2 linked regions of the Saccharomyces cerevisiae S288C genome follow. Each later gene encodes a partner of the first gene's protein in a complex. Each region holds a gene or a part of one and is shown in the gene's direction. Other genes may lie near its edges.

What was found. Proteins that work in one complex are often made in the same cells at the same time.
Region 2: BRE2 (region 1) and SWD2 share a complex: the UniProt entries of both Saccharomyces cerevisiae proteins name them as parts of the set1C/COMPASS complex.

Annotation. Positions count from the first base shown.
Region 1 is NC_001144.5:171,579-179,615, forward strand, and holds BRE2 (Bre2p), read left to right. Parts: upstream 1-3,648; coding exon 3,649-5,166; downstream 5,167-8,037. Other genes in the region: GAT3 (Gat3p), read left to right, coding at 1-186; PPR1 (Ppr1p), read right to left, coding at 690-3,404; PML1 (Pml1p), read right to left, coding at 5,224-5,838; MEU1 (S-methyl-5-thioadenosine phosphorylase), read left to right, coding at 6,030-7,043; POM34 (Pom34p), read right to left, coding at 7,129-8,028. UniProt on the Saccharomyces cerevisiae protein: Component of the Set1C/COMPASS complex that specifically mono-, di- and trimethylates histone H3 to form H3K4me1/2/3, which subsequently plays a role in telomere length maintenance and transcription elongation regulation.
Region 2 is NC_001143.9:399,936-405,591, forward strand, and holds SWD2 (WD-repeat containing protein SWD2), read left to right. Parts: upstream 1-4,166; coding exon 4,167-5,156; downstream 5,157-5,656. Other genes in the region: SPT23 (Spt23p), read right to left, coding at 1-2,145; RAM2 (bifunctional protein farnesyltransferase/protein geranylgeranyltransferase), read left to right, coding at 2,633-3,583; MCO12 (Mco12p), read right to left, coding at 3,645-3,944; ATP-dependent 5'-3' DNA helicase HCS1, read right to left, coding at 5,255-5,656. UniProt on the Saccharomyces cerevisiae protein: The COMPASS (Set1C) complex specifically mono-, di- and trimethylates histone H3 to form H3K4me1/2/3, which subsequently plays a role in telomere length maintenance and transcription elongation regulation. Involved in mediating RNA polymerase II termination.

The DNA of each region.
Region 1 (8,037 bases):
TCTCCGCAATGGAGAGAGGGTCCTGATGGAGAGGTGACATTGTGTAATGCCTGTGGATTATTTTATAGAAAAATATTTTTGGTTTTTGGCAAGGATCTGGCAAAACGGTACTTTAACGAAATAAAAGGTGTGAGCGTCAAACGAAAAGTTCCAAAGAGCCTCTATGGAGTTACAAGAACGCGTTAAGAGAATTTATTTCTGCTCGGAATGTTATATACTTATGTCAAAGCAGTGATTATACATTTATCGACTTTAAACAGTTGATAACGAACATTATGTGTTATTCGAAAGTCAAAGTGCCATACAAAACAAGTGGTTTCTCAGTTCTTGCAATTTTTCTTTATCAGCGTAGTCCCAGAAAAAAAAATCATCACTGGAAATGTAAGATGAATTCAAGTATCAAGTGCCGTTGGTATTATAGTTTATCAATTAATACGTAAATATATATATATATATATATATATATATATATGACTATAGTGGCATACTTCTCAATGGACTGTTGCTTCTATCATTTTATACATGCGTTCAACTTTGAAGATTATCACAAAAACCTCAAACTTTTCAATTAATCTGCCCCGGTCATTTAAGTTAGCTCTTTTAGGACTCTCATGTTTTCAAAAAATAGATTGAAAAGAGCATTGGTGGCCCTACTTTCAATCCATTGATCATGATTCTTCGAGCTATCGCTAAAATATTCCACCGGATTCAGAGTTCTTTCCTTTACTGATATCGTAAGAAGACTCGCCTTCGTTTCCGTTACCAGACCTGACAAAAAACTCATCCCATACAGATCCCGAAGTAACCTGGAAAAGGATATCCATGATATCTTGATTATTGGTATACGACTGGCAATTCAATGCAGAAGACGTATTTGTAGAAGCACTTTCATTTATCACTTGATTACCTTCGCTTACATCTAAAGTATTAAACTGGGAAACATTGCTGTGTTTTTCCAGTTCGGTAAAAAATTCATCTAGAGGTATATCAAAAGGTGCTTTTTCTTCAAAATTGGTTCTATTAAAAACCTTGTTATCAAAAGTACCGTCGTCAAAACCAAGTACGTTCGTTTTTTTATCATAACTTGACATGCGGTTTGCCTGAGAGGTTAGGGGATTTGAATCCGAAAATATCCCTTTGGCATCATTTATTTGCATAAATTTTAACTTTATTACAACTGATGATAAAATTTTGTAACTCGTGTAACAGGTTTTCGCAGATTCGCAAAAACCTATCAGATTCTTCAGTACTATCAACACTTTTTCAGTGTACTCTGACACTTTTTCTTGACAATCATTTATGTTGTTTTTTGAGTAAAAATTTACGTAAAGGTAAGTCATACCTGTCATGAACATGTTATGAACTGCTACCCACGTGTAACCAATTTTTTTATTGACACAAAGATTGTAAAATACGTCTATGGTGCCCTTCGTACTGTCCAGGACAATTTTAAAAGCGGTATCATTCAAAGTAGGGAATTTTGGAGAAAGTCCATAAAGAATGCTCTTCGAGTAATGATAGTTCAGATCAAACCAGATGCTGTTAAATTTGCAATTCATCATCTCAAAGTTTTTGGGAACGTCCACTTGGAACCAACGCTCAAGCTCATTGTAGGTTTCAATCCGCCAGCTCTCGAGATCCATAAACCTCCTCGGCAATTCTGCACCGGGCGCGTAGAGTATTCTCACTATACTAGCTTGGATTCTTCTGATTTTATACATGGCCAATGCGATAACTTTTGAAGACGGATTTGGGCTTGGTAAGTCTGAGTAGTCGTCAATTTCTCGGTTAGTTAATGTGATGAAGGAATCGTCCAAAAGGCTAGGATACCTGGTGGTGATGCTTTCTTCAGGTATACCAAAAGGTCGACCAAAATACGAGCAAATTTGCCGATCTAAGGAGTAAACGCACCAAAATAGACGCCTGCGTATTTCTCTGGTAAAGGCGTCATAATTTTTATTAATTTTTTCCGAATGTAGTCCTAGGTCAACCGTTAGTCTTAGTACAGAACCCATAGTATACCAAACACCGGGGACATTAGGTCTCATTATTGAATAGATTACCATGAGCAAAGTGCCTGCCAATGCCTCCAACCTGTCTGAAGATGAAAATAAAGATGCAATATATTTAGTAGCGCGTCTCTTATATGTCGCGACAGTAGTAATATCTGACTTAAGTACCTGCGTAGCATGGCCAATAGCAAATATAATGTTTAAAAAAAAATAAGGTATGTGAAATTTTGTCGGTAGTTCAACTATCGGACGCATGTTGACTTTTTGAGATGTCTCCCAAGTGTCATACCATGGAACATCCACGGAAGAGCATACGTCAATCTTCTCAGTAACGTTCTCCCTTTTTGGTTCAGTATGCGCACTAAAAGCACTGGTAATTGGAATTTCGAACGCGCTATTTATGCCTGTCTGATCAGATGCCAATGCAATATTGGGATTCCAGGGACCATAAATAGGTTCAAAGTATTTTTTCAGGAAAAGTTCTCTATGCAGCAAAGGTAACTGGGAATTAGTATCTACAAAAAACCTGGATATCATAACTTCAGCGGCATGTCGAGGTGGTAGTTCCAATGGATCAAAGTGTGGATTGTTTTCAGCCTCTGCATATCCATTGTATTTCTGTTCCCTTTGTTTAATATCTTCATCCAGAACGTCATCTCCGGAATCTTGACGAAAATTAGTTGCCGTGAAGACTAATTTCGCAAAGGAAATACCCGATGAATCTCCTAAAAAAGAGTTAAAACTACTTTCTCTCATCGTGCCCAGCGCACTGATCTCCTTATTACATCGGCGTAGCTCTTCCGCTCTTGCATCTGAAGTCATAGGGCTGCCTGTCTCGGGTAATAAAGCGCTACCATCTTGTTTTTTTGAGTTTACCAGAAATTCCTTGCGTTGTACATTTATAGTCTGTGGGCTTGCCATAGACTTGCTCGTTATAGCTGAGGATGCCATAGAATTCCCTTTCTGAACCAAATAATCCGCCAATAAGCCATTATGTGGCAATATTCCCTCTTCTCCCAAAGATGAAACTGAACTGTACTTTTTCAAATCAAAAGGTTCATCATCACTTGTAGCAGGTATATTTCCTCGTATTTTCGTGGGATCTACTCCATATTCTTTCAACACACGCATCATGACAGCCAATCTATCTTCCAGAAAAAAGACGTAAGATCTTGGAACGTCCTTTCCGGTGGCTGGGTCCAAAGAAACACATGGTACCTCTAATTTTGCACACCTCTTACAGCTAGGAAACTCCTGATCACATTTAATTTTTTTCAATCGACATCGTTTACATGCAGTTCTAGATTTGGAAATTCCTATATTAGGAGAATCTCCTCTTTTTGATAAATCTGTTCTATTACTTTTTTTGGAGTTAAATTTTTTCTGCTTCATGATTTAATCATCATCTTCGTATGTTTTATGTACTCTAAAGGGTTACTCCTGTGCGAATAAAGCAAACCACTTTACGTTACTAAAATTTTTCACATTTGGTATTGTGAGTATTTTATGAAGCTCATCGCGGTAAAAGAAAAAAATAGAGAATCTGTGATTATAGTTTAAAAAGGATGTAGACAAAGGATATCAGCGATAAAGGTGGCCATAATTGGACGAAGACAAATAATTCACTTCCTTAATAATGAAGTTGGGTATTATACCTTACCAGGAAGGTACTGATATTGTTTACAAGAATGCTCTCCAGGGTCAGCAAGAAGGGAAGAGACCTAATTTACCACAGATGGAAGCAACGCACCAAATCAAGTCATCGGTTCAGGGTACAAGTTATGAGTTTGTCCGCACAGAAGATATTCCATTGAATCGAAGACATTTTGTGTACAGACCGTGTTCCGCAAATCCCTTTTTCACTATTTTGGGGTATGGCTGTACAGAATACCCATTTGACCACTCTGGAATGAGCGTCATGGACAGATCTGAAGGGTTGTCAATTAGTCGAGATGGAAATGATCTGGTAAGTGTCCCGGATCAATACGGTTGGAGAACTGCAAGAAGCGATGTGTGTATTAAAGAAGGAATGACGTATTGGGAAGTGGAGGTAATTCGTGGAGGAAACAAGAAATTCGCAGACGGTGTTAATAATAAGGAAAATGCTGATGATTCAGTAGACGAAGTACAAAGTGGCATATACGAAAAAATGCACAAACAAGTGAATGACACCCCGCATCTACGATTTGGAGTTTGCAGAAGAGAGGCCAGTTTAGAGGCTCCCGTAGGGTTTGATGTGTACGGGTATGGTATTAGAGACATTTCGTTAGAATCTATCCACGAAGGAAAATTGAATTGCGTCCTAGAAAATGGTTCGCCATTGAAAGAGGGTGATAAAATCGGATTTCTACTGAGTCTTCCTAGCATTCATACACAAATCAAACAAGCTAAGGAGTTTACCAAAAGAAGAATTTTTGCACTGAACTCCCATATGGATACGATGAATGAACCATGGAGAGAAGATGCTGAGAATGGGCCTTCAAGGAAAAAATTAAAACAAGAGACAACGAACAAAGAATTTCAAAGGGCGCTATTAGAAGATATTGAATATAACGACGTCGTCCGCGATCAAATCGCCATCAGGTATAAGAACCAGTTGTTCTTTGAGGCAACGGACTATGTAAAGACAACGAAACCGGAATATTATTCTTCTGATAAGAGGGAAAGGCAAGACTATTACCAGTTAGAGGATTCATATCTTGCTATCTTTCAAAATGGTAAGTACCTAGGCAAAGCATTTGAAAATTTAAAGCCGTTGTTACCACCGTTCAGTGAGTTACAATACAATGAAAAGTTCTATCTTGGATATTGGCAACATGGTGAAGCTCGTGATGAGTCCAATGATAAAAACACAACCAGTGCCAAAAAGAAAAAGCAGCAACAAAAGAAAAAGAAGGGATTGATACTCAGAAACAAATACGTAAATAATAACAAACTGGGTTACTATCCAACAATCAGCTGTTTTAACGGTGGAACAGCGAGGATAATTAGTGAAGAAGATAAATTGGAGTACCTCGATCAAATCCGATCAGCTTACTGTGTTGACGGGAATTCAAAAGTTAACACACTGGATACATTGTACAAAGAACAGATAGCTGAAGACATAGTATGGGATATAATCGATGAGTTGGAGCAAATTGCCCTACAGCAATAAAGCAGCATTCAAAGAAGAATAATTAAAACACACTGAAAGTGTGTTTCTTATATATGGTTATACATTCATGAAGATGAGTTCGTAATCGTTATCTTCTTCAAATTCTGAAAGTGTAAGGACGTCACCACTTCGTAGCTCTATATATCTCGCTCCAGGAATTACAACGTTGTTCAAACATGTCCCATTGGACGAATCCAAATCCATTACATAACATTTCAAAATGCCACGAACGTTCCTGAACTGGATGACGCAGTGCTGCTTTGAGGATGTTTCTTCGGGTATACCAATGTCTGCGACAACGATCTCCGTTCTATCGTCGAGATCTGTATCCAGACTGTGGCCCAGTTCACGACCGACTAAATAACAGCTCCTGCCGTTCAAATCGTATCTTTTCCACGGTCCTTTATCCTTGTCATTCTTTCTGTATATCACTAGTTCATACATAGTCCTATCTCGCGCCTCCAGTCCTAGCATATCCATGTAGTTATCTGGAGAAATAGCGTCCTGCGGCTCCACATGTTTTAAAGCTATACCTTCTTTGTTATTCGACTCCAGCTCTAACAGACCGGAAGGGCTGAAGTCTGGCATAATATCGATGTACTGCGATTTGAATTTCTTGTCATCATGGCCATAATTTCTGGTGTTATAAGGTCTTTTGCGTCTGTGAAACATGTCTATACGCAAATGGAGTCGGAAATGAAGTACACCATGCTTGCTGTGGCTTTTACGTTATACCAAGGCTTCTATTGTAGGACGCCTTTATTGTCAATTATGTGAAAAGAAAGCAAAAAAAAGAAAAAGAAAAATGAAAAAAGATGAACGTGTGAATGAAAAAAAACTATTTCGAGATGAGATGAGATTAAATGAACAGGATTAAGAATACATTTTCTGTTGCTAAGAGATTAAAACTAAGCAAAGTTATGACGAACTCAGAATTACCGAGCATATTCGAAGGAACTGTTGATTTAGGGATTATTGGTGGTACAGGTTTATATAACCTTGACTGTCTGGAGCCCATCGCTTTGCTTCCACCCATGGTAACACCATGGGGTACCACATCGTCTCCTGTCACAATCTCTCAGTTCGTAGGAACTAACAGCCACTTTCACGTTGCGTTCATAGCCAGACACGGTATTAACCACGAATACCCACCCACTAAAGTCCCATTTAGAGCAAACATGGCGGCCTTAAAGAACTTAAATTGTAAAGCCGTTCTTTCTTTTAGTGCCGTGGGGTCTTTACAACCCCATATAAAGCCTAGAGATTTTGTGTTACCACAGCAAATAATCGACAGAACTAAAGGCATAAGACATTCTTCATATTTCAACGATGAAGGCTTGGTAGGTCACGTTGGTTTCGGACAGCCGTTCTCTCAAAAATTCGCAGAGTATATCTATCAATTCAAGAACGAGATAACAAATCCTGAATCCGAAGAACCGTGCCATTTGCATTACGACAAGGATATGACCGTTGTGTGTATGGAAGGCCCACAATTCTCCACGCGCGCTGAATCCAAGATGTACAGAATGTTTGGTGGCCATGTTATTAACATGAGTGTTATTCCAGAAGCCAAATTGGCGCGTGAGTGTGAGCTGCCTTACCAGATGATTTGTATGTCTACCGATTACGACGCATGGAGAGATGAGGCAGAACCTGTTACCGTAGAAACCGTTATTGGTAATTTGACGAATAATGGGCGCAATGCAAATATTTTAGCTTCTAAGATCATCGTCTCAATGGCCAAGGAAATCCCAGAGTTCATGCATACTGGCGATGGGCTGCGCGGTTCCATCAAGAAATCTATCTCTACCAAACCAGAGGCTATGTCCAAGGAAACCTTAGAAAGACTAAGATACTTATTTCCAAACTATTGGTAATGGTTGCCGCTAATCATATGTAAAATATAAATAGGAGAGAAAACATATATAGCTATGGAAAGTATTAAATGTTTTTTTGCTGTTTTTATATTTTCCCCCTTGGGGACTGTGAGTTCATCATATATGCATATTTGCTACTTGGAATGTAGCCCTTCCTAGTTACAGGGGTATGCGGCGAGTTATTGTCATTGTTAGCGCTCACTAATGTGCTACTGATACCGCTATGCCTCTGCAGTGTGCCAAATACATTCTTTGTGTGTAAGGATTGAGATTGTAGTTTCGTCTGTTCCTCCGCCATTTCCCTTTGTCTTGCTTTCAAAGGCGTCTCTAAGCCTTTGAAGAGATATGCTGGATGATTTTTGAGATTTGTTTGAGGAATATGTGTTTTGTTCTGTGCCATTTGGCTGATCTTAGAAGTGGATACGTAGTGGGGGTGTTGTGGCTGCAACCCAGTATCGACAGATGATTGCATGTCTACCCCCAGGAGCTTCTTTTGCCTGTCAGTGAGATTCAAATCACTTACTTTGACGGTGGATAAGAGCTTCCAAAGAGAAAACAGTATATTGAGCGAGATTAATAGGTGGAACAAGTAGTCAAGAAGTTCTGCATTCAACCAACTGAACGTGGTGTGATATATGATGTTAGCCTTCTTTAACGTGTGAAATGTCAACATGTACAGATGGATTCTGGATAGCCGGTTGCAAAACTGTCTCCCAACATGAGTGTTGTTCCAAAAGAACTTGATGAACTTCACCAGCAGGTTCCAGAACGCAAACGCAATTACGTTTGTCATAATTCTCTGCGTCTCCATTTCCTTGTTTACCGTTCGCCGTGATAGCTCCTTGAGCACAGGACTTTCAAAGTTGCCCAATTTAAACATTGGTGTGTCATTTTGTGATTGTGATGAGGGTTTGCTGTCTGTGTCCGGCAATGGTCCCGGCACGTCATTATCGTCCAGGCCCAATTGGCCCGCCTGAATCTTCATAGTTCCCTC
Region 2 (5,656 bases), on another chromosome or scaffold:
ATGTAATAGAGTTCTACCCCTAACGTCACACATGGAAAGATTGACGGTAGAGAGATTATTATTTCTCTTAAATGACTTAATAACTTCAGTGATCAATTGTTCATCGTTTATATTTCGCATCATATTCGTGTACGAATTTAAAGAGCTATTCTGTGAGTGTAATCCTGCGTTATTATTAGATGGAGATGAATCACTGCCAACAATCCTTTTAGCAATATTTCTTGCATCTTCCAGTTTACCGTTCATTTTCAGCCCCACAATTTGCAGAGCCAATTCAATTAGTTGCCTATCAGTATCATCAACATAAGTAAAGATTGCTTTCTCACCGGTATACTTGTTTAAGTGCAGAATGTCATTGGTACTATTGCTGGTGGAAACACTACTATTGCTATTATTTCTCATAGACGTTTCACTTGGGTCGACTATGGTTACCAAAACCGGTCCAGGTTTAGATGAAGGCGGTAAATAAGTCACCATCGTAGATTCATTCCAGCATTGGCTGGACAATGCTATATTTTCGCCAAACTTGATGATTAAGCCCTGCTTAAACTTTGAGCCAAGTAGAGTCACTTCTATACCTCCGTTGATGGAACCTTGTGCGGGGATGACACGCTGAATAGAAGGCTTGTTATTTAGCGCCACGGGGACACTATTATGGTTCGATATATCTTTGGAAGAATCGATGAATTTCTGGGGAAGACGGGAAAACGTATTAGGCGTAGACATAAAAGGCTCGTTTACCGAACGCTGCCTCTTGCCAGTGTGTCTCGCAGAGGCCGCACTGAAATCACTAGTTAATGTAGTAAGAGCGGGATTAGATGAACTATTAAAACCTGTGGACGACCAAGAGTCTAGTGAACGATGTAAATTGTTGTCGTTGTTATTAGAAAAATGAATATCTGAAAAAGAATGGTTGCTGTCCTCACTGGAGGAATTTGGTGATGGAAAGTGTCTGTTGTTGTTCATCATTGCGGTATTAGTCTTAATGTTGTTTTTGTTATCATTATCATTGTTGTTGTTATTACAATTGCTATCAAGCATACAGTTCGTAGAAATGACAAAATTTTTACTGTTAGAAGGCAGGGGGAATTCGGATGGGAAGTTTAAGTCACTTTGCGGCGATGAAAAGGATCTAGTGTCATTTGTCATTGGCGAAACCTGGGCATTGCTGGTGCTGGTTGGAGTTGTGGTATTGCTGGCATTTTTCTTGTCCATGATCATTATGGGATCTGTTATAGTTTTCGCCAAGATATCGCCGTTATGGTCCCTTAGAAGGAACAAAACTACAAACCCGTTAGTTGCCTTGTGGTGTCTGCAGTAACAGACGATTCTCGTCGGTAAGTCGAAATTGATACAGTTAGAGTTACCACTCAAACCGTTATTACTAATGATGAAAAGTTGTTTACTATTGAATATGATTGCTCTTTTGTTTTCGTTATTTTGCCAGATGGAGTTGTCGTTCAACCCAGACTTTCTTCTCGACGCTCTTCTTTTTTCCCTGTTGATACATCTATTACAAACATAGGTCTGCTTGAAGTTGTTGCTATTGTTGTTAGATGCACACAAAAGAAAGGCGTCCAAGAAAAGAGTCCTTTCGTTGATGTCCCTATTGGGTATTGTCAAGTTGGTGGGATCGTCCGAGCTGGTGAAAAACTTGTCCTTCGCTATACAATCAGAGGGCAGATGAATAAAGAAGTTTTTTCTTGCATGTGCGTTTCTAATCCGAAAACTCAGCTTCATCTGAGTTTCCACCCTAGAAACCTTCGGCAACCCAATAATTTCTAGAGACAATGGAAGGGACTGCGGGTTAATGTTGATAAAATCCAGTGGATTCGCGTATGGCGTCCTCAGAGGTAGCTTTCTGCCAAATTGAACGTGTCGATCAAGCAATCCTTGCAAAGATGCGATGTCATCCCTGAGCTCCCCTTCATCTTCCTTACCTGGTGTAGTAGTACCTGCTGTTATCATTTTCTCTTGGTTCAGACTCAATAAACCAGGGTCTTGCAGAGAGGACCCAGAGTTGAGCAGAGCAATATCCAGTAATTCTGATTCTAGTAAATCCAAGTCCGGAGAGCCATCGTTGTGCTGTATGTTGGCGCTATAGCTGTGGAGCATCGAGGAAACGTTTCCTGTGCCACTCATCATTTTCAGTGGTGTACTACTGTTGTGATTAGTCGTTTAGAGGATATCTAGAGTATAATTATTTTGAATGAGTTTCGTTGACATTTTCAGTTCATGCGATCATCTTACTTTCATGGTTGCTCCTTGCCGTTAAAATTGAAACGAAAAAAGCGGGAATACAACAATGTCACCTTACACGAGCAGAGAAAAGGGCAGCAATAGCGACAATAACCGATAATGCCAGGCCTTCCAGAGCCCTATGCTGACCTATATTCATCATGACGCTATCCATATGCAACTAGAGACCTGCTGGGAAGCGCTCTCTCATTTTTGAAGGTTGCAGCAGTGCTCGCGCCGGTTTTCGATTGGGCCTCGTGATAAAACACATCAGCAAAGTTTCGCTTTTGACATTCTGTTAAATTGGTCCTTAACTGTTGGTGCAGACCTACTGCAAGACTGTTAATTATGGTATATTATATATCAAGTGCTGATACAACGTACACCATCGAAAATGGAGGAGTACGATTATTCAGACGTTAAACCTTTGCCCATTGAGACAGACTTGCAGGATGAACTGTGCAGGATTATGTATACCGAGGATTATAAGCGGTTGATGGGACTCGCAAGGGCTCTGATCAGCCTTAACGAACTGTCACCCAGGGCACTACAGCTAACAGCCGAAATTATCGACGTGGCGCCAGCCTTCTACACCATATGGAACTACCGATTCAATATCGTCAGGCACATGATGAGTGAATCCGAAGACACTGTCTTGTACCTGAACAAGGAATTAGACTGGCTAGATGAAGTTACGCTGAATAATCCAAAGAACTATCAGATCTGGTCCTATAGACAGTCTCTTTTGAAGCTACATCCGTCTCCTTCCTTCAAAAGAGAGCTGCCTATCTTAAAACTGATGATTGATGATGATTCCAAGAATTATCACGTTTGGTCGTACAGAAAGTGGTGCTGTTTGTTCTTCAGTGACTTTCAACATGAGCTCGCCTACGCCAGCGACCTCATCGAGACAGACATTTATAACAACAGCGCATGGACTCATAGGATGTTTTACTGGGTGAACGCTAAAGATGTCATTTCAAAAGTGGAATTGGCCGACGAGCTCCAGTTCATTATGGACAAGATTCAATTGGTTCCGCAGAACATCAGTCCGTGGACCTACCTCCGTGGTTTCCAAGAGCTATTCCATGATAGGCTACAGTGGGATAGCAAAGTAGTCGACTTCGCCACAACCTTCATCGGTGACGTATTGTCACTTCCAATTGGCTCACCAGAGGATTTGCCCGAGATCGAGTCCTCATATGCCCTGGAATTCCTGGCATATCACTGGGGGGCAGACCCTTGTACCCGAGACAACGCTGTTAAGGCCTATAGCTTGCTAGCAATCAAATACGATCCTATTAGAAAAAACTTGTGGCACCACAAAATAAATAATCTGAACTGAATATATGTAAGCACTCTATTTGTACGAATATATTTACGTGTGTACGTGCATGCACGCAAGTTTAATCTAGTTCTACAAACCTACTGCTGTATTGAGATTGATCTCTTCCCCTTCGTTTTGGACCGCTATCATTGATGCGTCCAAACCCGTCCTCGTTCAACTGCTTTCTGAAAAATTTAGAACGTTTAACCATCTTCAGCGTCCTTGTGTAGCACATCTCTCCCCATGACAGATATCTATGTATCCAGCCGCCCAACTGATACTGGTTGTAAAAGAATATCATTCCCGTCTCCCTTCTTATTGCCGATAGGAGCATAGCTACCAACGTCCCCTCTACTACCCACCTTATCATTCCCAACATCTTGCAATATGTTACGATCTGATCTTCACTCTCTTTTGCTCCTTCTTTTTGCTGTTTAACTGTTACCTACACTCATTTATTCGATACCTTTTTTTACCCATTTTTTCTTCATGCAGTTTAGCACTAGTACATTAAAAAAGAAAGAAAAAAAATGAAAGCAAGACTAAAATATCGAGCAAAGCACAAGCAAATACACCGTTTGTCCTTTTAGCATAGCCAACAATGACCACCGTGTCCATCAATAAGCCCAACCTGCTGAAATTCAAGCATGTTAAAAGCTTTCAACCTCAAGAAAAAGACTGCGGACCCGTAACCTCATTGAATTTCGACGATAATGGCCAGTTTCTACTGACCTCTTCTTCCAACGATACAATGCAATTGTACAGTGCCACGAACTGCAAATTCTTGGACACTATAGCCTCTAAGAAATATGGCTGTCACTCCGCTATCTTTACGCACGCACAAAACGAATGTATCTATTCCTCTACAATGAAAAATTTTGACATTAAATACCTTAATCTGGAAACAAACCAATATCTAAGATATTTTTCCGGTCATGGCGCCCTAGTGAATGATTTGAAGATGAACCCCGTGAACGATACGTTTCTATCGTCGTCATACGATGAATCCGTTAGGCTTTGGGATTTGAAGATCTCTAAACCGCAAGTTATTATACCAAGTCTCGTACCAAATTGTATCGCATATGATCCAAGTGGCCTTGTATTCGCATTGGGGAACCCAGAGAATTTCGAAATAGGGCTATATAATCTGAAAAAAATTCAGGAGGGTCCTTTCTTGATAATTAAAATTAATGATGCGACTTTCAGTCAATGGAATAAATTAGAATTTTCTAACAATGGAAAGTATTTATTAGTTGGCTCCTCGATAGGAAAGCATTTAATTTTTGACGCATTCACAGGTCAACAATTATTCGAACTAATAGGAACAAGGGCCTTCCCGATGAGAGAATTTCTAGATTCTGGATCTGCTTGTTTCACACCAGATGGTGAATTCGTCCTTGGAACCGATTATGACGGTAGGATTGCCATTTGGAATCATTCTGATTCAATAAGTAACAAAGTATTAAGGCCGCAAGGGTTCATTCCCTGTGTTTCTCATGAGACCTGCCCCAGGTCAATTGCATTCAACCCTAAATATTCGATGTTTGTTACCGCAGACGAAACAGTAGATTTTTACGTGTACGATGAATGACTGCTGCTACTGCATTGATATACTAGAGGATATAATATATAACGAACATTTTTTACCTACTGTATAACGACGTATACTCTATACATCTTGTGTATTCTTTACAAATAATCGTCAATGTTGGGGTACCTTACGTCAGCGTTCTCTTCACACCATTCTGACCAACTTTTTAGGTACTTGTTACCGCACCTTTGCAGAACTTCTATATTGCCAACAACAACTAGTTGCCTTCTGGGTCTTGTCATGGCGACGTTCAGTCTTCGTTCTTCCTTAAGGAAACCAACTTCAAATTTTTCATTGCTACGAACTAAACTCAATATGATAACATCTTTTTCACGGCCCTGGAACCCATCTACAGTTGATATTTCAATATCAGTTAATTTTAATTCATCATGGATCAATTTTTTCAGATGAGAAACTTGTGCATTGTATGGAGAAATAACACCTATAGAGTTCTCCGGGACGTTGAATGACCTTAAATTCTCAATGTGTTCTTTTACAAT